3 linked regions of the Canis lupus familiaris genome follow. The main gene of each other region encodes a partner of the protein of the gene in region 3 in a complex. Links are inferred from orthologs where the notes say so. Each region holds a gene or a part of one and is shown on either strand. Other genes may lie near its edges.

Region 1 (7,356 bases), on a different chromosome or scaffold from region 3:
CCCTCCGCAGCCCTGACCCCGCCCCGCCCCCGCCCCCGGCCCGTCCCCGTCCCCGCCGCGGGCGCCACCGTCCCCCGCCTTTCTCACGGGCTCAGTTGTCACGGTAACGGTGGTCTCCGTGACGGTCTCACTCAGCCCGGCTCCTGCCTCGGCCATGGCTGAGGCTGCGGAGAGGGCAGAGGGCGGCGGGGCAGGAAGCGGCCTTCCCGGTGTCTCCGAGCTCTAAGACGACCGGACCGGGATCGGGATCGGGATCGGATTCGGAGGAGCAGCCAGGACCCTCCAGCGCCTCGGCCCCTCCTCCTCGGCCTCCGCTTCCCCCCGGGGTAACCTGCCCAGCTCCACTTCCGGCTCGCCGCTTCCGGGTGTGACGCACTCCGCCGTCGCCGTCCCTTCCTGGCGCCGAAGGTCTCCGGACGCATGCGCCGCCGGACTAGTTCTCCCGTCACGTGACGGTGAGCAGGTGCCGCAGCCCGCAGAGAAGGCGACGCTGCGGGGAGCGGACGTTGCGCAGGCGCGGCCCGAGACCCGGCGGGAGCGCGGTCCCCGAGGGCCGCGGGGGCGGGGCGCAGGTCCCTGGCTGGGCGCAGGGTATGGGATGCGGTTACCCAGGTGCGTGGTGCGGGCGCCGGGACCCCCGCCGCGCGGCGCCTGGTCCCGGACTGGAGCACCGGCCCCGGAGCTCCAGCAGGTGCAAGCGCCAGGTCAGGGCTGGGCTCCCTTAGGCGCCGCCGGGAATCCCCCTCCCCCTCCTCGGCCTCCCGCAGTCCTCTGGGGGCCTCGTGGGTGTAGGAATAACGTGCGGGCTCTGAGATGCTGACGTGAGCGAGGCTGCGGGGCGTGGCGGTGAAATCCGCTACCGAGTGGCCCGCAAGAGCTACCGACAGCAGAGGCCGAGCTGCGGTCCACGGAGCACCTGCCTTTTTGTCGGGCAGAGATGGCCAAAGGGGCCTGGTTGGCAGGTGCGGGTGAGGCCAGGTGCGTGCTGCAGGCATGAGGTTCTGCAGGGAAAGCTTGGGGAGCCTGCACCAGCCGCGGCGGGAGGGGTGAGGGCCGCCGCCGGCGGTGGCATCCGGCAGCAACCGGGGAGGAGACTCTGGACGATGCCTGTTAACAGAAGTGGTCAGGGAAGTCCGCCCTGCCCGTCCCATCAGTTCCCACTACGTCGCCCGGGGCTCAGACACCTCAGGGAAAGTCTCAGAGCTCAGAACACACAAAGGACCGGGCAGTGTGCAAGCCAAGGAATGCAAAAATTGACTCCAAACTAAGTTTGAATGTTTATTGTGGCCGGACTACAAAATTTCGTTCAATGTGATAAAAAGCAAGATACAACTTGTATTCGTAGTAAAGCCCATTTAAAAAAAAAAAAAAAAGTATCTCTCTGAAGTAGGATTCCTTGTCATTTTTTACTCTACCTTTCCATATATGAATTTATCACAATGAATATACATTTATGTCAACAGCAATAAAAAAATACAATTTTCAAAATGTCCAATGTGTTCAGCATATACTGGTAAACCTTAGTATCAGACTTCTCCTTGTTCCAGCTCACACGTCAGACACATCTGGTTACGTTATCTGCTTATCTCCCAGCATCTGGGCTCCTGCTTTGTTTCCCTAAACTCAGGAACCAAATACATTTAGTCATGGAATACTTGTAATTACTTAAAAAAAAAAAAAAGATTTATTTATTTATGTGAGAGACAGAAATAGAGGCAGAGACATAGGCAGAAGCAGGCTCCCTATAGGGAGCTGGATGTAGGACTCAATCCCAAGACCCGGGAGATCATACCCTGAGGTGAAGGCAGATACTCATCCACTGAGACACCCAGGTGCCCATAATTACTTTTTATATTAGTCTCATTCCTGCCTCCATTTTTTGTCTTTGGTAGTTTCCTTTTTCCCTTTTCCTTCTCATACACTAATTTATACTATATTTTTTGTAGCTGATATACTTACTGAAAGAATATATTCTCTGTAAATCCATTTAAATTCCTTTTGGAACAAGACATTATAAATAACAGGTATGTCTGGCTTATATAGAAAAACGTAACCTTGATAAAGAAACTCAACTACAGTAGGTGTACTGTAGGGACAATGGTAATGCCCACATGATAATCTCTGTCTATGGGAGCAAAGCACTGCAACCAGGATAGACAAAGCATCTAAGAACCCAATATCCCTCACCTTTCAAGGAAGAGGGAGAACTGATAAGGTGCCCAGAAAGAAAATCAAGAGTCTTCCTTCTCCTGGAACCTATGGAGAAAGAAAGGACTCATTATATTTAGGCACAGAGGTTTTAGCAGTATAAGACAAACATTCACGTGAAAAATTAAGGAGGGAGTTTTATTTATGACATTGTAGATGACTAGCTCCCCGAAACAATCCTTCAAATTCAAGACAACTAAAAATCCTGGACTAAAAACCTAAAGGACAATGAGATAAAATCTCACACAGATCAAAATGGTTAAAAGTAATAAGTCAGGAAACAACAAATGTTGGCAAGGATGTGGAGAAGTGGGGAACCTTCTTGCACTGTTGCTGGGAATGCAAACTGGTGCAGCCACTCTGGAAAACAGTGTGGAGGTTCCTCAAGAAGTTAAAAATAGAGCTACCCTATGACCGGGCTGGATGAATCTGCACAACCTGCGACTGTTATCTTGGGGTTGAGTTCAAGCCCCACAGTGGATAGAGATTATTTAAAAACAAAATCTTAAAAAAAAAAAAAATTTATTTACTCATGAGAGACACAGAGAGAGAGAGAGAGAGAGAGAGGCACAGACACAGGCAGAGGGAGAAGCAGGCTCCATGAAGGGAGCCTGATGCGGGACTCGATCCCAGGACTCCAGGATCATCATGCTGTGGGCCGAAGGCAGGTGCTAAACCACTGAACCACCCAGGGATCCTGAAAGCTAGGTCTTGATAAGCGTGGTGAAAGTACAGAACACCGAAGACAAGGAGTTCTCAAATGGTTCAGGTCTCTCTGGTTCCTGAAATCACAGGTGATTCTCATAAAAGCAAGAGCACTGGAACAAGCAGCAGGATTCAACACGCAGACCACCCAGAAATACCTGCCTTCTCTCTGTTCTCACTCCTTTAAACAGCTTAAAAGCTTCGCTTCACTGGCTATAAAAAAAACTAACAAAAATGTTCTTTTTCAAAAATAAAAAAAAAACACAAATGTCCCTGTTACCTGAAAAGAGGACAGGACCAAAGGAAATAACCGGTTCTTGGGTACAAGAGGGAAGTCACAGGACATGTGTGGTTAAGGGCCAGAGGGAGAGGGCAGAGGGCCAGGGAGGGGGCACACCTGCAGCTGGTGCAGGTGTAGAAGACGGTCTGCCCCTCGTCAGCTGAGCGCATCTGTCTGGTGTGGTAGGCCATTCCCTCGTGACCACATCGGGAGCAGCGCCTGTCAACCTGGCAACCAAAGGGGGGGGGGGGTCAGGGAAAGCCAGGATGACCCCTGCTTCCTACAGGAATCTCGTTGCATGCTCTCCCCAGCACCCCTGCTCCAAAGACCTCTGTTTCCCCAGACCTCAGCACTCAACCCTGCAGCCCTTCCCGCTCTCCCTGTGGATCAGTGTTGGCATCACTCACTCACCACGGGTCGCTGGAGGTCGGGCTCCTCCTGCACACCCGTTACCCCAGACTCAGCACTCAACCCTGCATGTCTCCCCGCCTTCCTTGTGGGTCAGTGCTGGGGTCACTCACTCACCACGGGTCCCTGGAGCTCTGGCTCCTCCTGCACCGGCGCGGGCACCGCCGTCCCCACCTGGTTGAACACGATGCGGGTCCTCACCACCTTCCCCTCGAAGTCTGCGGAGCGGTAAGCGCTGGCTGCGGGCACCCCCGGACCCTCCGCCGCCCCCCGCAACCCGGCCGCTCCCGCCCCCTCCTCACCCCGCACGGGGACGCCGAAGCCACAGCGCACACAGGTGACCGCGTCCTGGGCCCCGGGCAGGGGCAGGACGGAGCCGCAGTCCGGACAGAAGTCCAGGTCCGACTGGAATCTGGAGCCGGAGGGCGCGGGGTCCATGGCGCAGAGGGTGCGACGGTGGGCAGCTCCGGTTCCGTCCAGGGACCCCGGCGGCCGCGAACCGAGCCCTCCTCCCTGGACGCGCGAGGCTCCGCGGGAGGACCGGCCGGCGTAGTGCGGTCCTCCAGGGCAGGTGAGAGCACCCGCCGAGCGGAGCGGGCTAGAGCATCCGCCGCGCAGACGCCCATTGGTCGTGACGTCACAATCCCTCGCCCAGACCGCAGTCCGCCGCGCCGGCGCCCTTGGGTGTAACATCACAATCCGGCGCCCAGACTGCTGTCCGCCTCGCCGGCTTCTGTGGGGTTGTGACGTCACAATACGTCGCCCCGACTGCTGTGCGCGGCGCTGGCGCCTTTGGCCGTGACGTCACAATCCGGCGCCCGGCGCCCCGAGAGCCCCAGAGCGGGGGTCGAGCGCCGTGGGAGACGGACGGAGGTGCCGACGCCGGGATAGGAGCTCGGGTAATGGCCGCTGCGCCTCCGGACACTCCATCAGGAAGAAGCGCAGTCCGGGGATACGTATTTTCTGGGACCCAACCTCGGGAGCGTTGCTTGTGGAGATGTTGCTGAGCTTCCCGAACGCCGCCGCGCCGCCCCGGAGCCAGTGGGCCCAGCTCCGCCCCGCCGGCCTGACGTGCCCAGGACATGCTCTAGGAGCGGGCGGGCCAGGGAGATGAGGGCGAGGGCCGGGGGCGGGGCGGGGCGGGGCGGGCGGCCCAGGCCCGGGGCTGACTTGGGGGCCGTCCCCCTCCGCCGCGCCCAGCGGGTCACCGGGGAGTGACGAGCACGGTTGCCGTTCCCGAGCGTAAGGCTCACGGTCGCTAGGGAGCCGAGCTGCGGCCGCTCGCCAGTAACCACCGTCTGCGGGGCACGAGGAGTTTCTGAGCCGCTGCCCCCGTGGCTCCCGTCCGCCTGTCCCCGCAGGACGTCGTTCTGTCCGGCTCGAAGGGGGCGGTCTGCCGTTTAGACCGCGAACGTTAAAATTAGCCTGTTAACCTCTTTGACTCTGCTCCCGACTCCGTGACCGTGCAGTGCTGCTCCACGCAGAGTCCAGCGCGATCCCGATGGGCCGGTGTCGTGAGGCCCGGGCCTTTCCAAGTGTCTGTGGAGCTGGGGCGGCACCGTTGGAAAGGATGCTGTGACCTCAAGGGGTACGAAGGACACGGTGGAACCCGCCACGAGAGACCCACACAGGGCCTAGGACTATGGTGTCTGCACCTCCAGGAGGACTCGCTGATGTTTCAGTAAAAACGTGGACATGGCACCTCAGGAGCAAAGGAGAAAGGTGCTCGAATACCAGCGACAAGGGAACCAGAAGATGAGTTCCAGAAACTGTTGCTGAACACAAACCGTGCTGGGTTGTGTTCTGAAAAGTAATAGGACGGTTACCTTTGTTAAATATCAGAATAGGTGTCCACGGACAGATAGGAACATAGGCAGGAAGTCAGTGAGATCCAATAACTGATACCAGGCTCATTCCAGTAACAGAGACACATCGTATTTGTCAATCTAAATTATAGATTACCTCCCGTTTACAGTCTAAATTTCAGCATGAAAGTGTTACAAATGATACAGGTATCACCATGGAAACCCTGGCTGGTTTTCAAGTGACTTAGGAATAATGTTTAAAAAACGTTGTGTTCAGAAGAAGGGAAAATCACTGTTACGTAGAATAGTCCGGAAAGACTTTACAGAGACTTGGGCTTGATCTGTGGAGGAGAGACCATTGCCAATTATTGAGGACTTACACTGTCTGTCCCAGGCTCTTTAATCTAGTTTATGTTTGTTTTTTATAAGATTGAGAAGCAGACCTTTGTCTCCCACATCCATCTTATAGACCAGGAGACTGACCCATTGTTACTTACCCAGAGCCACACCTCAGAGGTGGTGTGATTAGCGTTCAGACAGCCCTGTCAGGCTTCAAAGCCCACGCTCTTGCCATAAAGAGCCTGAAGGGCACAGAGATGAAATGCCAGGCATCCCCAGGGGCTTCAACACGACCTCACGGTAAACTCACAGTACACTAGGGATGACATATGAAAGGCTGGCAGTCTTCACTTGTGTTGCCGTCAGCCTGACCCACAAGAGAAGAGGGACCACTAACCAGTGCCAAGCCAGGGGACTCAATGGGAATGGTCTCATGGATTTGGGATGAAGGATGAGTGGCAGTGTAAGGCAGGGACACAGAGTCAGGGTGACCAGATAAGAAGAGAATTTCAGAACGGAAGGCTGGAAGGCAGAGATGCTATATGTGCTGATAGAGGCAGAGAGGGTCCGGACCCAGAAACTACAGAAGGAGGATGGACTGCGAACCCTGGAGTCAGGAAACCTCTCCGAAGACAGAGCCTGGGAGGCAGAGCGGTCTGATGGAGAGGTGCTGGGGCAGCACAGTAGCAAGGAGCCGCCTATGTCTTCCCGGCCCCAGACTCGGGACTCAGACTGGTTCACGTTGAGTCCTCGGGAGATGTGCGCTTCTACTTTCTGTGAAGGGTTTACGTGCTGGTCCCAGATTCTCCACCGTGGTAGTGCGGTGCTTTCCCATGGAGGAGGCAGACTTCTTGTCAGTCAGTTTGGTTAGGTCAGTGTGTGGGAAGATGTCCTGACGCCTCCCACGCTCTAATCTACCTCTGCTCTCTTATCTTACAGTTTGGCCTGGGCTAAAGCATCACCAGACCCTAGGATTGCCGTAGACCAACAGTCCCCACTGGAGAAAAAACTCCTGGTAAATCATCTTCATGTTGTGCACTTGGGAACTGCTAGGAGAAGTAGCCTTGGGTTTAAAACCCTGTGCAGGTGACCCCTCCCTGGTGGGTATGTTTACCTATATCCATACCTGCAAAACAGTATTCTGTTCAAAATGCCCAACACTAGGTCAGCCTGGGTGGCTCAGCGGTTTAGCACCACCTTGGGCCCAGGGCGTGATCCTGGAGACCCAGGATTGAGTCCCACATCAGGCTCCCTGCATGAAGCCTGCTTCTCCCTCTGCCTGTGCCTGTGCCTCTGCCTCTCTGTGTGTGTGGTTAAATAAATAAAATTAAACAACAAAAAAAAGAAAAATGCCCAACACTACATATTTTAAAACTAGTGGTTGATTTTGGTGACCAGTAATTCAGCTCTGAGAGCTCACAGTTTCACATAGGATTGATGGGAGTAAAAATCACAGTGATTATGCCAAGAAAGCATTATAAAATTCTCTGCCCCACTTTGACAGAACCTAGGTGGTGTGCATAGCACGGCAGCACGGCAGCTGATAACCCAGAAGTACCAGGAGGAATACGAAGCACTGTGCAGGGAGCAGGCTCTGTCTCTCGACTACTG
Region 2 (7,385 bases), on a different chromosome or scaffold from region 3:
AAGTTAGGAGAACAACCAGGACTAGGAGTCAAAAGGGCTCTTCATTTGCATTTGCATCTGGTAACCAGGGTCAAGGTTGCCACAGGGTGGGTCACATGGACCAATAATCCTCAGTCCTCTCAGCGTCCCAGTCAGGGCCAGATGCTCAGCTTCATCCAACCCCCTGCCCCCATCGGCACAGGATCTCTCCTGGATGGGGTAGGATCTAGTTATGGACCTCCTATGGCTTGGAGCCTCAAACCACCAAAATATCCTGTCTCCACCTGCCTCACCCAAAACCTTGTCCTCTGAATAACAATAAAACACCTGAAAAGCCTTGCCAATCCCTCCCTTCTCCCCCTCCCCCCCATTGCTCATCCTTCCTCCCATTCCAGGACTCTGGGTGAGGAAAGGACAAACTCTGGCCAGATGGGAATCCCAGAATGAAGGCTCCCATAAGACTCTCTCTCTAAGTGGGAGAATGAAGTGTGGAAAATATAGTTTATAGCCTCAAGGCCAAATAACTTGGGTTTAGCCAAACTTGACTCATAAAACTGAAGATACCCCCCTCACCTCGATTCAGAGAACAGGGACTGTCTAACCCCTTTCGAAGGAGAGGGGGTCCCGCAAACAACCATGTGGGAAAAGAGGACGTAAGTTAAAGTGCTCCTACCTTGGCCTTTGGGGGCGGCCATTTCCAGGTCTGTGGGGCAGTCAGCTTCTCCGTTCATTCTTTAGCCGTCCAGCCTCCTCCTTGGGTCGTGCTGGCCGGGCAACCCGCGGTCAAAACCACCTCACCCTTTAGAAGAGACACCAGTCCCCACTCAGGCGGGATGCGAGGTGAGGGACTTTCTATTCCTCCCTCCCCCAAGGGGGAGGGGGGCACAAGTCCGCACTTTAACGGAGACCCTGCCAAGACCCTAGTAGACCTAAAGGGTCTGTGGGTGTGGGAGTGCGCCCCCCCGCGCCCCTGCAGCCCGGCTCCACCGCGTGCGCCCTCCCCTGCCCACGCGAGAGACTGCTCCCAGCTCCCGCGTGCAGCGAGCGCCCGCCCTCCGCCCTCCTTCCCCCACCCGGGCCAAAAAAAAAAAAAAAAAAAAAAAAAAATCTCCTCCTCCTCTGTGCGCCCGCCCCGGGGAGGCCCCAGGCTGGAGGGCGGGGGAGGAGGAAGGGCGGGTAAAGGGCGCGCGCGGCCGCGGAAGCGGGCGCGCGCCGCAGTCTCCTCCTCCCGCCTCCCCCCGGCCGGTTCCCCCCGCCTCCGCAACCCGGCGGGGACCCGGACGCAGCGCAGCCGCCACCGGCCCCGGAGCGTAGCGGCCGCACCGCCCCCGGGGACCGGATCCGGATTCCCGCCGCCCCCCCTCTCGGGCTCCCGACGCCGTCCCCGCCCGCCTGGGCGGGTGAGCAGCCGGAGAGAAGCGGCCTAGCCTGCCCCCCGCCCCCGAGCCACCCACCCCGGCCGGAGGCGCCGCCACCGCCCAGCCACCCCGACGCACACGGAGGAGCCCGCCGCAGAGGCGCGACCACGGCGGGAACCGCCGCCTCCTCCCCCGAGCTTGCGGCCCAGCCCCGCCGGCGCCCCCGCCCCGGCCTCCGGGGAGCTGAGCCAAGGAGAGGGCGGGAGGACGGCGGCCGGGAGGCGGGGGCGCAGCGCTCACCGGCCCCGCCGCCCCCTCCGGCGGCCGGCGAGAACTGCGCCTGCCGGCTCGGAGAAGCGCGGGCTCCTGTGCCCGCGGCCGGGGCTCGGCTCGGGCCTCGCTTCCTGCCCTCCCCTCCCCCGGCTCTCGGCGTCCTCTCCAATGCCCTGATCCTCTTTCGTCCAGTCCCCTGCCTGGAGGGCGGCCCGGGTCTCCCCCGGCGTCTACGGCACCCGCGGTTCGCTCCCCGCCGCCCGGCCCCGACCCCGGCGCGCGTCCTCAGCCGCCTCGGTTACCCGGCGCAGCGCGGCCTCCGGGCTTCCCGCTCCGGCGGCTCCCTCCCCGGCTCTGAGCGGCGGCGCCCTCCCCCGCTCGGCCGGGCACAGCCGCAGCTCCCTCCCGCGGCGGCAGCGGCTCCTCCTCCGGGCGCGGCGGCGGCGGCGCTGGGGCGGCGGCTGCTGCTGTGGCGGCGGCGGCGGCTGTGGCTGCTGCTGCCTGCTGCTCCTCGCGGCGAAAAGCACAAAGCACAGCGCCCTCCGCCTGCAGGCAGCCCGCCCGCCGCCCGCCCGCCGGCCCCGGCCTCAGCTCGCACACCCCCCGCCGCCGCCGCAGCCTCCGCCGCCGGAGCGGGGAGGAGGAGGGAGAAGGGAGGAGGAGGAGCGGGAGGGGGGGCGGGAGAAGCGGGGCAGCGAGCGCGTCCTTCCCCGTAGAGCGCACACCGACCCCCGGGGAGCGAGCGCCAGCCCGCCCGCCTCGCCGGCTCCGCTCCCTCCCACAGCCTGCCCGGGCGGGCTCCGCGGGGGGCAGCTGGGAGGAGGGGCGGGAGCTGGGGGGACCCGGGCGGCCGAGGCGGAGGGAAGGAAGGAGGGGAGGGGGGTGGTGGTAGTGGTGGTGGTGGTGGTGGTGGCGGCGGTGGCGGCGGCGGCGGCGGCGGCGGCGGCTGCTGCTGCTGCCGGGGAGGGGGGGCCGGGGCAGGGAGACACGCAGCCGCCCGGATGGCGGCGGGGCTCGGAGCCGAGGCGGGCGGGCGGGCGCCGAGAGCGACCTCGCCAGACCCGCGGGGGAACTAGCAGGCTCGGCCGGCGCGGGAGGGAGGGCGCGAGGCGCGGCCGCCAGAGACGGTGCCCGGAGGGCCCCCCGGCGGCCGGGGAGGCTGAGGGGGTGCCCGCAGCCCTGCTTCGGAGCTCTCCCCCAAGTCCTCCCAGCTAAGATTCGGGTTTCCACGGCAGTCCTCACCCGCTCCCTTCTCCCGCCTCCTGGAGCGGGCGCTCCGCGCCCACCCTCATCCCCGGAGCGTGGCCACCGGCTTGGGGCGCACGCACGCCCATCCCGGCGCCAGGCTTCGGCGCCTACCTCGCGGTCCCCTTGCTTCCGAACAGCACACACACGAAACTTAAAAAAAAAAAAAAAAAAAAAAAAACCGTACAAAATGCCCTGCCTGCAAATTAAAAAAAAAAAAAAAAGAAGTCCCCTTTGCTCCTTTACACCCCGGAAACGGCGAGGGGGCGATGGGGTCCGGCGGAGGAGCTGCTCTGGGAGCCGGTTCAATCCAGCCCGGCATGGCTCCCCAGGCCTGCCCGGGCGCATGGAGATCGGCGCCGCCGCCACTCGCAGCAACCCCTCTCCCCCGAAATCCGCGGAGCCCGGGCTCACTTACCGAGCGTGTGAATGGGAGCGCGGGCCAGGGGCGCCTAGGGGTGCGGCGGGCCGAAGAGCGGAGCCGCAGCTCCGCCGCAGCCGACGCCGGGGCAGCGAGTCGCCAGACAAAGCCCGAGATGGCGAAGCGGAGCGACGGCTAATGGCGAGCCCCACGCGCCGCGCTCCGCCCGCCCCGCTCCGCCCGCCCGCCCGCCCGCCTCGGCGCAGCGCAGCGCCGCTCCGAGCGCTCGCCCGTCAGAGCCGCCTCGGCGCCGCCGCCTCCCGGGCCACCCCGGCCTCGCCTGGCCCCTCCGCCTCCTCCGGGCCACTCAGCCTCACCCCCTTCCCTCCCACCGCGATGGGGGCTGCACGAAAATAAAAAAAGAAAAAGAAAAAAATGCTTTTCTTTCTTTTTTTTGGTGGGGGGGCAGGGCGGGCGTGTTGAGACTTTTGGGGTTTTTTTTTGCCCCCAGCTCGCACTCACCTGCGGAGCCGCCGGGAGGGCTGGGGGTGGGGGCGCGCGGGGCTGGAGCCGGCGAGCGCGGGTTGAAAGCTAGCCAAGCTCTGCAGCGCCCGACCCGGGCGTATACGCCGCCGCCAGTCCCCGCAGAGAAATCGTCCTCCTACCCCCGCCTCCATCGCTCTGCGTTTCTCTTCCAATCAGCCGGTCGCTTGGCGGCTCCTCCATTCTCCGGCCAAGCCCGCTGCCTAGAGCGAGCTCCACTCCTCCATCTGCTAGCCCGGTTCCTGGCTCCCCTGCCGGGGCCGGCGAAGCGACGTAGGGCCGGAGGGGGATTTGCGAGGGAACCTGCCTGCTTCCCGCTCCCATTGCTCCCTCCCCGCTGCCTCCTGCCTCCTGCTTCTCTCCTGCGTCTTTCCAACTCTCCCCTGTCGCCACTGGTGTGTGTCTGAGTGTGTGCGCGGCTTTTTTTTTTTTTTTTTTTTTTTTTTATTGCTCTTTGCTTTTGCAACCCTGAAGCCAAAGCGAGGGGGTGGGGGATAAAGGAGGGGGGGGGGTTACAAAAAAAAAAAAGTAAGAAGCTCTTAGATTTGCAACACATTGAAAAACCGGGGGAGCACCCCGCCTCGCCGGATCTCGGCTCCCCGCGAGGGCCTTCCGGGTTTTAGAGCGAGCCTCTCGTTGTTCTCAACGCCCCTCACCTCCTCCGGGTTTAGGATCCGAGGTGTCCGATCAAAAAGTTCTCCCCTTGGGCCGTAGCAAGGGGTGTCAGGGTGGGAATTAGGGGGATTTCTCAAGAAGCAGTAGCCTCCCCCCACCCCCCACCCCGGTTTCGGTAGTTGGGCCGGGGTTGGGGCGGAGAGCGTGATCCCGGTGGGTCTGCGCCAGGAGCTTCCGGGGCGAAGCGGGAGCCAGGAGACCGCGCTTCGCGCATCTCCCCCTCGGTCTCTGCCTCCAGTCCCCTGCCAGCTCCCCCTTTAATTTTTTTTTTTTTTTTCCTCTCCTTTAATCTAATTTCTTCCAACTCCACCTTTGTTGTTACCGGCGTCACGCCCGGACCAGCCAATCCCCGCCATGCAATCAGCTTGTCAAAAAGGCTCGGCCAGCCCTGGGAAAGCAGGCCGCGGGCGCTGGGCCCCCTCCTTCCCCCAGCGGCGGCGGGGAGCCGCGAGGGGAGCCTGGCACCCGGGCCCCGCCGCCCGAGCCGCCGCGGGGCAGCCTTCGCCCGGGCCTGCGGCACTCCGCCGTCCTGCGGCTCCGGGGGCGAGAGGCCGGGGCGGGGACCGCCATCCGCCCTCCCGGGGCTGCCGGCTGCGGTCGTCGGTCTCTGCCTCCCCTCTTCCGAGGCAGCAGGGTTGTCAGGACGCAGGGAGCCGGAAGACGAAGAGCGCCCGCTTCCCACAGGCGAGCCTGCGGTCTGGGCCGCCGCTGCCCGCGCAGCGCCATCGCGCCGGGCTCCGGGGCTCCCGGGCTGCCCGCCTCCCGCACCGACTCTGCGGACTGCCCGCACCGCGGCCAGCCGGGGCGCCGGCCCCTCCGGACTCTCCGCTGGCACACAGCCTTCTCCATCCTCACTCAGCGGCCTCCCTGCCGCTGTAATTCCTCTTGTCTCCTGGGAGAAATGAGATTCCTTTCCCAGGACTTCCACAGCCCACATCTGCCACGTCTTACAAACAGGGAGGAAAACCTTGTCAAGATCTGGTGTGACCGGATTTTTGAGTGGGCAGGGCACGTAGGAGAGGCCGGTTGACCTTGTTGCTAATGAAGCTTCAGCTCATGGCCCCTCATTTGCGGGGCCTTGTAGTGCCCTGTTCTTAATTTTATTTCATTGTTGGGTATTATTTTTGTTAAAGACCCACACATACACACATTGTACAGCTCAAGTCTGCACAAATCCAGCTCTGCCCTTGGAGCCTACTCAGAGCATTTTGTGTAGGATCAAACCACCTCACACTGTACTTAGAAAACGGACTGACTTTCGTATGTGTGTTTTAAGATTTTATTTATTCATGAGAGACACAGAGAGAGGCAGAGACATAGGCAGAGGGAGAAGCAGGCTCCCTGTGGGGAGCCCCATGCAGGACTGGATCCCAAGACCCCCAAGATCAGGACATGCGCCAAAGGCTCAACCACTGAGCCACCCAGGTGCCTCCTGACTTTCTTGTTTTGTCTGGGAAAGAGCAAAGGGTTTAGAGTCAGAAGTCACAGCTCCCAGCTTCTCAGCTTCCCCACCCTCTTAAGCAGTGTGTGTTTGATCACATCTCTTAACCTCATCTGCTGATACTGTTTCCTTGTCTATAAAATGAGAATAGCAAACCTGCTTTCTCTGCTTTCTTCCCCAGGGGTTGGAGAGTCACCCGAGATGATGTATATAAACTGTAGGTGGAATGCTCCACAATGTCACTTGCCACAACTGAGAAACTTGGATCCCAAGAAAGGCCCAAGTCTTTTACACACAGATCTAGAATCCAGGTGTCCTGGCTCCTGGCCCTGAGCTTCTTGGCTGGGCCAAGGGGCCTTTCGGTAAAGTGCTCTGGAATAAAACAGGATGAACATGAATCATAAAAATGATTATTATTGATTTTTCATTCCTTGGGCAGCAAAAAAAAAAAAAAAAAAAAAACCCATCTGGCACTCTTCTCACTTGGAAACCAACTGCCTTGTTTTACATCTATTGTGTCTCTCTGGTGAGGTCAAGAGTCTAGGACTTGGGACATGGGCCAGACTCTGAGGGAATCTGCCCTTGGTCCTTCTTCTTTGCCCCCTCTCCTAATTTACCTTCCCTCCCTTCCAGTTTTCCACCCTGTACCTTGACACAAAGCCTTAGCCTTCCATACCTCCAGCCAGGCTGGTGACAAGGCATAATCCTAGCTACACACTCTCCACTTGGCCCCAGCACTTCTCTGGGTTGCCAGTATCCCAGCAGGAGCTCACATCAAACCCCTAGTGTGCCTGGAATGCGTTAACCAAAGTGTAGTGTTTGAATTCCTTGTGTACGTGAAGTAATTTTATTTATTTATTTATTTAATTTATTTCGTGGTATACAGATGAACATTATTTTCAAACATGTGTCCTTTAATGTGTATTGGAAATGTTCTGCTTTTTATTTTTATTTTTTATTTTATTAGTTTTTAAAGACTTTATTTATTTATTCATGAGAGACAGAGAGAGAGCCAGAGACATAGGCAGAGGCTGAGGCAGAAGCAGGCTCCCCACTGGGACTCCATCCCAGGACCCTGGGATCACAATCTGAGCTAAAGGCAGATGCTCAACCACTGAGCCACCCAGGTGCCCCTAAATGTTCTGTTTTTTAATGTTTATTCAAGATAATGACATAAAGATGTCTTCCTTTTTTTTTTTTCCTGAGCTGCTGTCCCTTATTTTTTCCTAAAAGATTTTATTTATTTATTTGAGAGAGACAGAGAGAGGGCAGGAGGAAGGGGGAGAGGGAGAAGGAGAGGGAGAAGCAGGCTCCCCCCTAAGCAGGGAGCCCTGTTCCAGCCTGGATCCCAGGACCCCACAGGAATCATGACCAGAGCTGAAGGCGGATGCCTAACTGACTGAGCCACCCAAGTACCCCTATTTTTTTCTTTTTTTAATTGATAAAGAAATAAAAATTGATATATTTTTCTTTTTTTAGAAAAGATTTTATTTATTCATGAGAGACAGAG
Region 3 (7,480 bases):
TGCATTGCTGCTACAAAAACAACCGTGGGTAAAACTGCTAGTGCCTTACATGCATCAAAGCAAAGAGGATCAAACTGCATATATTTAAAGTGTATGCATTGGGGCCCCTAGGTGGTTCAGTCACTTGAGCGTCTGACTCTTGGTTTTGGCTCAAGTCATGACCTCAGGGTCATGGGATCAGGCCCCAATATGCTGAGTAAGGAGTCTGCTTGAGAATCTCCCTCTGTCCCTCCCCCACTAGTGTTCCACACACTCTTTCCCTCTCTCTTGAAAATAAATAAATCTAAAAACTAAATAAAGTGCAAGGGCACCTGAGTGGCTCAGTCGGTTAACTATCTGCCTTCGGCACAGGTCATGGTGCCAGGGTCCTGGGATTGAGTCCCACATCGGGCTGCCTGACCAGCAGAGTATTTCTCCCTCTGCCTCTCCACAACCCCCCCCCCCCACCAGCCATGTTCTCTCTTAAATAAATAAATAAAATCTTTAAAATAAATAAAGTATATGAGTTAATGTGTATATGTATGCATATTCATGTATCTATACAAATACATACATATCTATACATCTTTACAAAACCATCACCATAATCAATGAAATATCCACCATCCACAAAATTTCACTGTGCTAGCATCTTTTTAATATTCTGTGTAACTTAAATGAAGCAGGCACAACAACTTCAGCTGCCTACTGAAGAACAATGATTGTTTCAAGAAAAGCTCTGTATAAGAAACAAAGTATATTAGGCACTTTCCCCAAAGGAAATTTTTTTTTTTTTTTTTTTTTTTTTTTAGTTTTTTTATATATTATGCCCAAGTTTTCAGTTGTTTAAAGTAGGAAAATAGGGATCCCTGGGTGGCGCAGCGGTTTGGCGCCTGCCTTTGGCCCAGGGCACGATCCTGGAGACCCGGGATCGAATCCCACGTCGGGCTCCCGGTGCATGGAGCCTGCTTCTCCCTCTGCCTGTGTCTCTGCCTCTCTCTCTCTCTCTCTCTCTGTGACTATCATAAAATAAATTTAAAAAAAAAAAAAAAAAATTTAAAGTAGGAAAATAAATCTAGTCCCTGCTACTCCATCTTGGCCAAAAGCAGAAGTCTACACAGTTACTTTTATCTGTCTCAAATTTGCCTTTCTTAAGTCTATGTGGTAAATGTAATATTTGTTCTTTCCTGGCTTTGGAGACTTTGAGCAAATCTTTTTCCAAAGTGGAGCCCTGGCATGTTTACCTGTCCAATAGCTGACTGTCCACACCCTTGATTATTTTGGTTATATTGCCCTGAATGTGTGGTGATTAGAACAGGACCTAACACTCACTCCCAGTGTGAAGGGGGCCTCATTTACCAAGGTTATATCAGACAGTATGACAATCTCTAGTGTAAGAGGCAGGTGTGATGGGGTAAAATGAGCACTGTAGTCACAAGACTCAGGTTCACGTCCTGGCTCAACACTTTATACTTGTGTGACTTTGGCAATCTCATTCAACTCCTGAGCCTTACTTGCCCCATCCATGGATTGGCATGGTACTATATCTCACAGGTGTTTATGAGGAGGAAATGAAATAATGAATAAGACTTTGTAATTTCTAAAGTACTGTACAAAGATAAAATGATAATGAAGCATATTTCCAATATTCCCGTCTTCAATCTTTACAACATTCCATCTTCCAAACCTCTAAGCTACCACAACACATAAAAACTTATATAGGTATTAACAAATAAAGAGAAATGCATCACCTTATAAGTACAATTTTAATTATTTTCCCTTATATTACACAGTCTGAATCATGAAATTATTTATAAATGCAGCCCAACATCTTTTCAAAAACCCATCCTAAATCTAATTCCTTAACTCACGTGTAAACACTTGAAGACTACTTACGTTCTTGGAATTTGGGCAGTACATGAGTGACAATGATTATTTGGGAACTAGGCTACATATCAGGCTAAAATAGCAATTTTTAAAACATTAGCAGACTCATAAATGATCTATATTACTTACTTCTGTAACGTTGTGGCAAGAAGTGCAATAATATTTGCCTTCATCAGTAAGACCCCAGGAGACAGCAGCACACTGAGTACATCTTTCCTTGAACTCTTTCTATAGAATATAGAAAAGCTGTTACTATCAAGCCATATTCAACACACTGCACCTAAACCCTGCAGTTCTACTTAAAGGGTTCCCTGGAATTTTAACCTACAGATTAAAAGAAAAAAAGGAAGGAAGGAAGGAAGGAAAGAAGGGAGGGAGGGAGGGAGGAAGGGAAGGGAAGGAGGGAGGGAGTGAAGAAAGAAAAATGTATCCAAGAGATTAACTATAAACAAAGAGAAAGAAAGAAAAATGTATCCGAGAGATTAACTATAAACAAAGAGAATAGTTCAGTCTTTTGAATAGTTTGAAGTGGAATTAAATGATTTAAAAAGTTTCTAAAACACAGTGTGTGAAGGGGGAAAAAGAGGAAGAAAAGGTGGTAGGGGTAAAATGGGAAAAAAGGATGAGTTACTAAAACTGCAAAGTGCTGTGAGAAAAAAAAAAGAGGACAAGATTTAAGTAAAGACAAAACCTTAAAAATAAAAACTGCAAACCATTTGGAACTTTCTCAATGATACTAGAAACACATACAGCAAAAGAACCAGATTTTTATTGGGGTTGTTCCGAGTTTCGATTTATTCATCCAGCAATATAAGGAGCATCACCTGTGTACGCACGAGGCATTTAACTAGGGGCCGGGGATTCAGCGGTGAGCAAAACAGACGTGATCTCTACTCACAGCAAACACGGGCTAATGGTGAGATACAGTCACTAATTTCATTAACCCAGCACGTACGGACGTTAGCCTCCATCATCCAACAAACATTTATTGAGCATCTATAACAAGTAAGGCCTTCTATCACCCTAACGCTTCTGTACCTACACAGGCAGACCCTAAAAGGATGGGTCTTTGACCTTCTCTTTGATCTAATTGCCGAATACTCCTTTACCGCAGCACAAGAGAGCAGTGGTTGGCGCAGTGTGTCAACAACAACAAAAAGGAATGCGGAGGGGCACCTGGGTGGGTGGCTCAGGGCGTGACCCCGGGGGGTCCTGGGATCCAGTCTCGCATCAGGCCCCTCCCTGCAGGGAGCCTGCTGCTCCCTCTGCCTGTGTCTCTGCCTCTCTCTCTCTCTCTCTCTCTCTCTCTGTGAGTCTTGAATGAATGAATGAATGAATGAATGAATGAATGAAATCTTTAAAAAAAATGAACCCGAATTTATTTCAACAACAATCAATAAATAAAATCTTAAAAAAAAAAAACCGAACCCGAATTTATTTCAACAGGCCGGTGAAGTGTGCGGTGCCCGCGTCCTGATCACCTGGATAAATTACCCTGGAGAGTTTGGAATCACCGGACGGTGGCGGGGATGCCGAGGGACAGTTGCGGGGTGGCTGGGGGGGGGGGGGGGGGGGACTCAGGAGCCAGCCCGTCGGACCCGGCTCTCCCACGCCCACCCCGCCGTCCAAGGAAACTTGCGGGTGGCCCGGTCCAGAGGGGATGGGCCCGTGGGTGGCCACCCCATAAAACCCACAACTCCGTCCTCCTCCAGAAACACACCCACGTGGACGCCCCGCCCTCCCTCACCCCCACGCTCACCGGGCCCGAAACGCCGGCCTCTGTCCCCGAAGCGCGCGCCCCCCCCCGCCCCGCCCCGGCCGCGCCAGCGCTTTCCCCGCCCCGCAGCCTTCCGCCTGCCCCGCTCCGGCCCGTGCTCACCGCCTCCTCCAGGTCCATAGCGGTGGTGGTGCCGCCGCCGCCGCCCCCCGGCCGGGCCCGTTACCCGGGCAGCGAGCGCAGCTTCCGGGAGCGCCGGAAGGGGCCCGCCGGGCGGAAACCCAGACCGCGGCTTGGGGTTCCGGGCGCCTGGGGCTGCGGGTTCGTCTCCGCGCGCTGCGGGGAGCAAGCCCCGCGCGCCCTGCAGCCCCAGCCCAGGCTGCTCTCCTCCGCCCCGGCGACCGCCCTGCAGCCCACGTCGGAAGGAGGCCGCTCGCGCCTCCCGCTGAGCCCGCCGGGTCCCAGCGTGGACGCCGCCGCCCCGTCGGGCTTTCACAGGCGCGGGAGCGGCGTGGGCTCCGGGAGGGAGGCGCGCGCTCGCGGAGCTGGGCCCCGTGCAGGCCCCGTGTGGGCGCCCTGGGCCTCGGTTTCCCCCGCCGTCAGACTCGGCTACTGGCTGCCCCGGGTAGTTGGAAGCTGGGGGAGGAGTCTACACCGTCTGGCCCCTGCTTTCAGCCCGACGCTCGAGGGGAGAAGAGTCCGACCGGGGCAGAGGCAGAGGTGGAGAGAAGGCCAGGTCCGCGGGGGCTTGCGCAGGATGAAGGTGCGGGAGACCGCGGGAAGCTCGGACATTCTGGAGATGCGGGCTTCGAAGGGCCACGAGGATGCCCGACGGGCGGGAGGAGAGAGAGGCAGGGATGACCGCAGGGTCTCGGGCCTGAGCGGCCTGAGCGCCTGGGAGGGGTGAAGCCCGACTGAGCAGGGCCAGGCCGCGCGGGGACAGCGTGGGAATCGGGGAGAAGAGGAAGCAGGAGGCCCAGGTAGGATGAGAGGACAGCTTGATCAGGGAGCCGAGCGCTCCCAGGTGACGTCTGGACTGGGAATGCTCTCGGCCTCGATGGTATTTAAAGTCCTGAGACTTTCGAGATCATCAAGAGACTGGCTCTTCGCGGCGCCTGGGTGGCTCAGCGGTTGAGCATCTGCCTGCAGCCCAGGGCGTGACCTGGAGACCCAGATCGAGTCCCACATCGGGCTCCCTGCAGGGAGCCTGCTGCTCCCTCTGCCTGGGTCTCTCGTGAATTAAATAAATAAAATCTTAAAAAAAATAAAAATAAAAAAAGACACTGGCTCTTTATTCACTCACTCCTTATTTGCTTGTCTATTTATTTATTTCACAGTTATTCAACATCCACTCTACGCCAGGCACTGTGCCAGCTATTGGGAAATGAGAGGACAGAGTCCCTGCCTACAAGAGCCATCCAGTCCAGTGCAACAGTCGGTCACATTATTTTATCATGGCACTAGACAAGTGTTCTGTCCAGTTGTGTCACCCATGTCATTTGCCAGGCTTGCCTCTGTGCGACTTGAGACTCTTTCTGAAAAACCTTACCTATCTTTACAGCATTAAGGATTGTCCTAGAAACAGCTTGACCATAAGCCTTTTCTTTTCTTTTTTTTAAAGATTTTATTTTATTTATTCATGGGAGAGAGAGAGGCAGAGACACAGGCAGAGGGAGAAGCAGGCTCCCTGCAGGGGGCCCGAGGTGGGAATCTATCAGGGTCTCCAGGATCATGCCCTGGGCTGAAGGCAGGCACTAAACCGCCAAGCCACCCAGAGATCCCCCAGCCTTTTATTTTCTAGATCAGCCCTGATTTTAAAATGTTGAAATGTTAGAACAGGAAGTGACAGTACTGAATGCGCTACTAAAGAGTTTAGGCATTGAACTAAAATATGAGACCAGGAATCTTTGTCTTTTTGTTTATTGCTATATATCCAGGGCCTGGAACAGTACTTAGCTCACAGGATGCGATCAATAAATATTTGTTGACTGGGTGAATGACTTTGTAAGATGTTCATGTATATGCAAAATAGTTTAAATAGATGACATACCTTGATTTAAGACTTTGGTCTGGGGGTGCCTAGGTGGCTCAGTGGTTAAGCCTCCAGACCTTAAGGCCCAGGGCATGATCCTGGAGTCCTGGGATCGAGTCCCACATCGGGCTCCCTGCATGGAGCCTGCTTCTCCCTCTGTCTCTGCCTCTGTCTCTCTGTCTCTCTCTCTATCTCTCTCTCTGTGTCTCTCATGAAAAAATAAATAAAATCTTTTTTTTTTTTTTTATGATAGTCACAGAGAGAGAGAGAGAGAGAGAGGCAGAGACACAGGCAGAGGGAGAAGCAGGCTCCATGCACCTGGAGCCCGATGTGGGATTCGATCCCGGGTCTCCAGGATCGCGCCCTGGGCCAAAGGTAGGCGCCAAACCACTGCACCACCCAGGGATCCCTAAAATCTTTTTTTAAAAAAAGACTTTGGACTGTGGTTGCACAGAAATGAGTCACAGAGTTTTCCAGCCATTTTTCACAGAAAATTGAGTGTTTTAAAAGAGCAAAGTCAGCCCTTTAGAAGAAAATGTTTTCATAGCCTATAAGACTTATAGGAGGATTTTAACAGACAAGCTTTAGTACGCAGTTCTTAAAACTCTGGCTCAGGTGGCCATTTTTGTCCAATTGACACAATTTTTTATGTGTAATAGAAATGATCAGTGGTGGAAGCACTCAGTGAGCTGGACTCCACCTTATGCTGCAGGTGAGCATGAATGTGTTTTTTGTTTTTTGTTTTTTTAGGATTTTTTTTTATCCATTTGACAGACAGAGTGAGAAAGTATTGGGGCTGGGGGCAGAAGGAGACTTCCCACTGAGCAGTGAGCCTACTCAGAGATGAGCTAGATCCTGGGACTCAGAGAGCACAGCCTGAGCCAAATGCAGACACTTAACCAACTGAGTCACCCAGGCACCTCATGGGTAAATTTCTGAAGAACAGTTGAGCTATATACAGGTGATATGGTGGAGCAACACTGGGGTAACCCCAAGAAGAGAAAACAAAAATAAAATTAAAACAGAGATAATAAACCTTTAAAGGGACCCAGGAGTCTGGGCCAAGATTTGACTGAACATATTAACATATAAAGGAAGAATGTGTACATTAGAAAAAGATACATTTAGCCCTTCAAGCCTAATAAAGGTGAGCCTAAATCTTAACAAGGACCCAGCTCTGCTATTTTGCACCAGCAGCTACTATACCCACGGTTCCACATAAGTGACAAACACAGAACCCAGCACTAACCATTACTCAATTCTGTAATAGGGCCAATAACTCTAGGTCAATAAATTTGAAATTTTGATAAGATGGATAAATTCCTAGAAAAATACAAGTTCCCAAAAAGCCTATGGAAGAAAGAAAATCTGAGCAATTCTATATGTAAAAAAAAAAGATTCCATGTATAAAAAAAACTCACTAAGAAAACCCCAGTTTCATATGGTTAAAGATGGTAAATTCTGGGCACCTGGGTGGCTCAGTGGTTGAGTGTCTGCCTTTAGCTCAGGTCATGATACCGGATCCTGGGATGGAATCCCACATCAGGCTTCCCACGGAGCCGGCTTCTTCCTCTGCCTGTGTCTCTGCCTCTCTTTCTGTGTCTTTCACAAATAAATAAAGTGTTTAAAAAAAAAAAAAGATGATAAATTCTACTAAATGTTTAAGAAAGAAATGGTACCCATCAAAAACAGACTCTTCCAGATAATGGGAAAAGTTAACACATTTACCAACACATCTTATGAGGCCAGCATGACCTTGACATCAAAACATGGCAAGAATATTTGAAGAAAAGTAAAAATTAAAGTCCATTCTGTTTCAGAAACATAGTTGTAAAAATTTCAAACAAAATATCAGCAAATTGAAT

What was found.
Region 1: TAF1B (region 3) and POLR1H share a complex: the UniProt entries of both Homo sapiens proteins name them as parts of the pol I pre-initiation complex. The link is inferred for Canis lupus familiaris from reciprocal best matches to the Homo sapiens genes TAF1B and POLR1H.
Region 2: TAF1B (region 3) and UBTF share a complex: the UniProt entries of both Homo sapiens proteins name them as parts of the pol I pre-initiation complex. The link is inferred for Canis lupus familiaris from reciprocal best matches to the Homo sapiens genes TAF1B and UBTF.

What each region holds. Positions count from the first base shown.
Region 1 is NC_049256.1:27,776,505-27,783,860, reverse strand, and holds POLR1H (DNA-directed RNA polymerase I subunit RPA12), read right to left. Parts: upstream 4,341-7,356; 5' UTR 4,295-4,340; coding exon 3,904-4,294; intron 3,820-3,903; coding exon 3,719-3,819; intron 3,421-3,718; coding exon 3,311-3,420; intron 2,257-3,310; coding exon 2,232-2,256; 3' UTR 2,188-2,231; intron 1,618-2,187; 3' UTR 1,265-1,617; downstream 1-1,264. Other genes in the region: E3 ubiquitin-protein ligase PPP1R11, read right to left, coding at 88-156; putative uncharacterized protein ZNRD1-AS1, read left to right, coding at 6,281-6,504, 6,685-6,760, 7,250-7,356. UniProt on the Homo sapiens protein: Core component of RNA polymerase I (Pol I), a DNA-dependent RNA polymerase which synthesizes ribosomal RNA precursors using the four ribonucleoside triphosphates as substrates. Can mediate Pol I proofreading of the nascent RNA transcript.
Region 2 is NC_049230.1:19,048,741-19,056,125, reverse strand, and holds the start of UBTF (nucleolar transcription factor 1), read right to left. Parts: upstream 4,143-7,385; 5' UTR 3,739-4,142; intron 3,432-3,738; exon of another isoform or gene 3,274-3,431; intron 2,045-3,273; exon of another isoform or gene 1,913-2,044; intron 1,559-1,912; exon of another isoform or gene 1,434-1,558; intron 779-1,433; 5' UTR 711-778; coding exon 653-710; intron 1-652. UniProt on the Homo sapiens protein: Recognizes the ribosomal RNA gene promoter and activates transcription mediated by RNA polymerase I (Pol I) through cooperative interactions with the transcription factor SL1/TIF-IB complex.
Region 3 is NC_049238.1:6,877,005-6,884,484, reverse strand, and holds the start of TAF1B (TATA box-binding protein-associated factor RNA polymerase I subunit B), read right to left. Parts: upstream 3,851-7,480; 5' UTR 3,764-3,850; coding exon 3,746-3,763; intron 2,095-3,745; coding exon 1,996-2,094; intron 1-1,995. UniProt on the Homo sapiens protein: Component of RNA polymerase I core factor complex that acts as a GTF2B/TFIIB-like factor and plays a key role in multiple steps during transcription initiation such as pre-initiation complex (PIC) assembly and postpolymerase recruitment events in polymerase I (Pol I) transcription.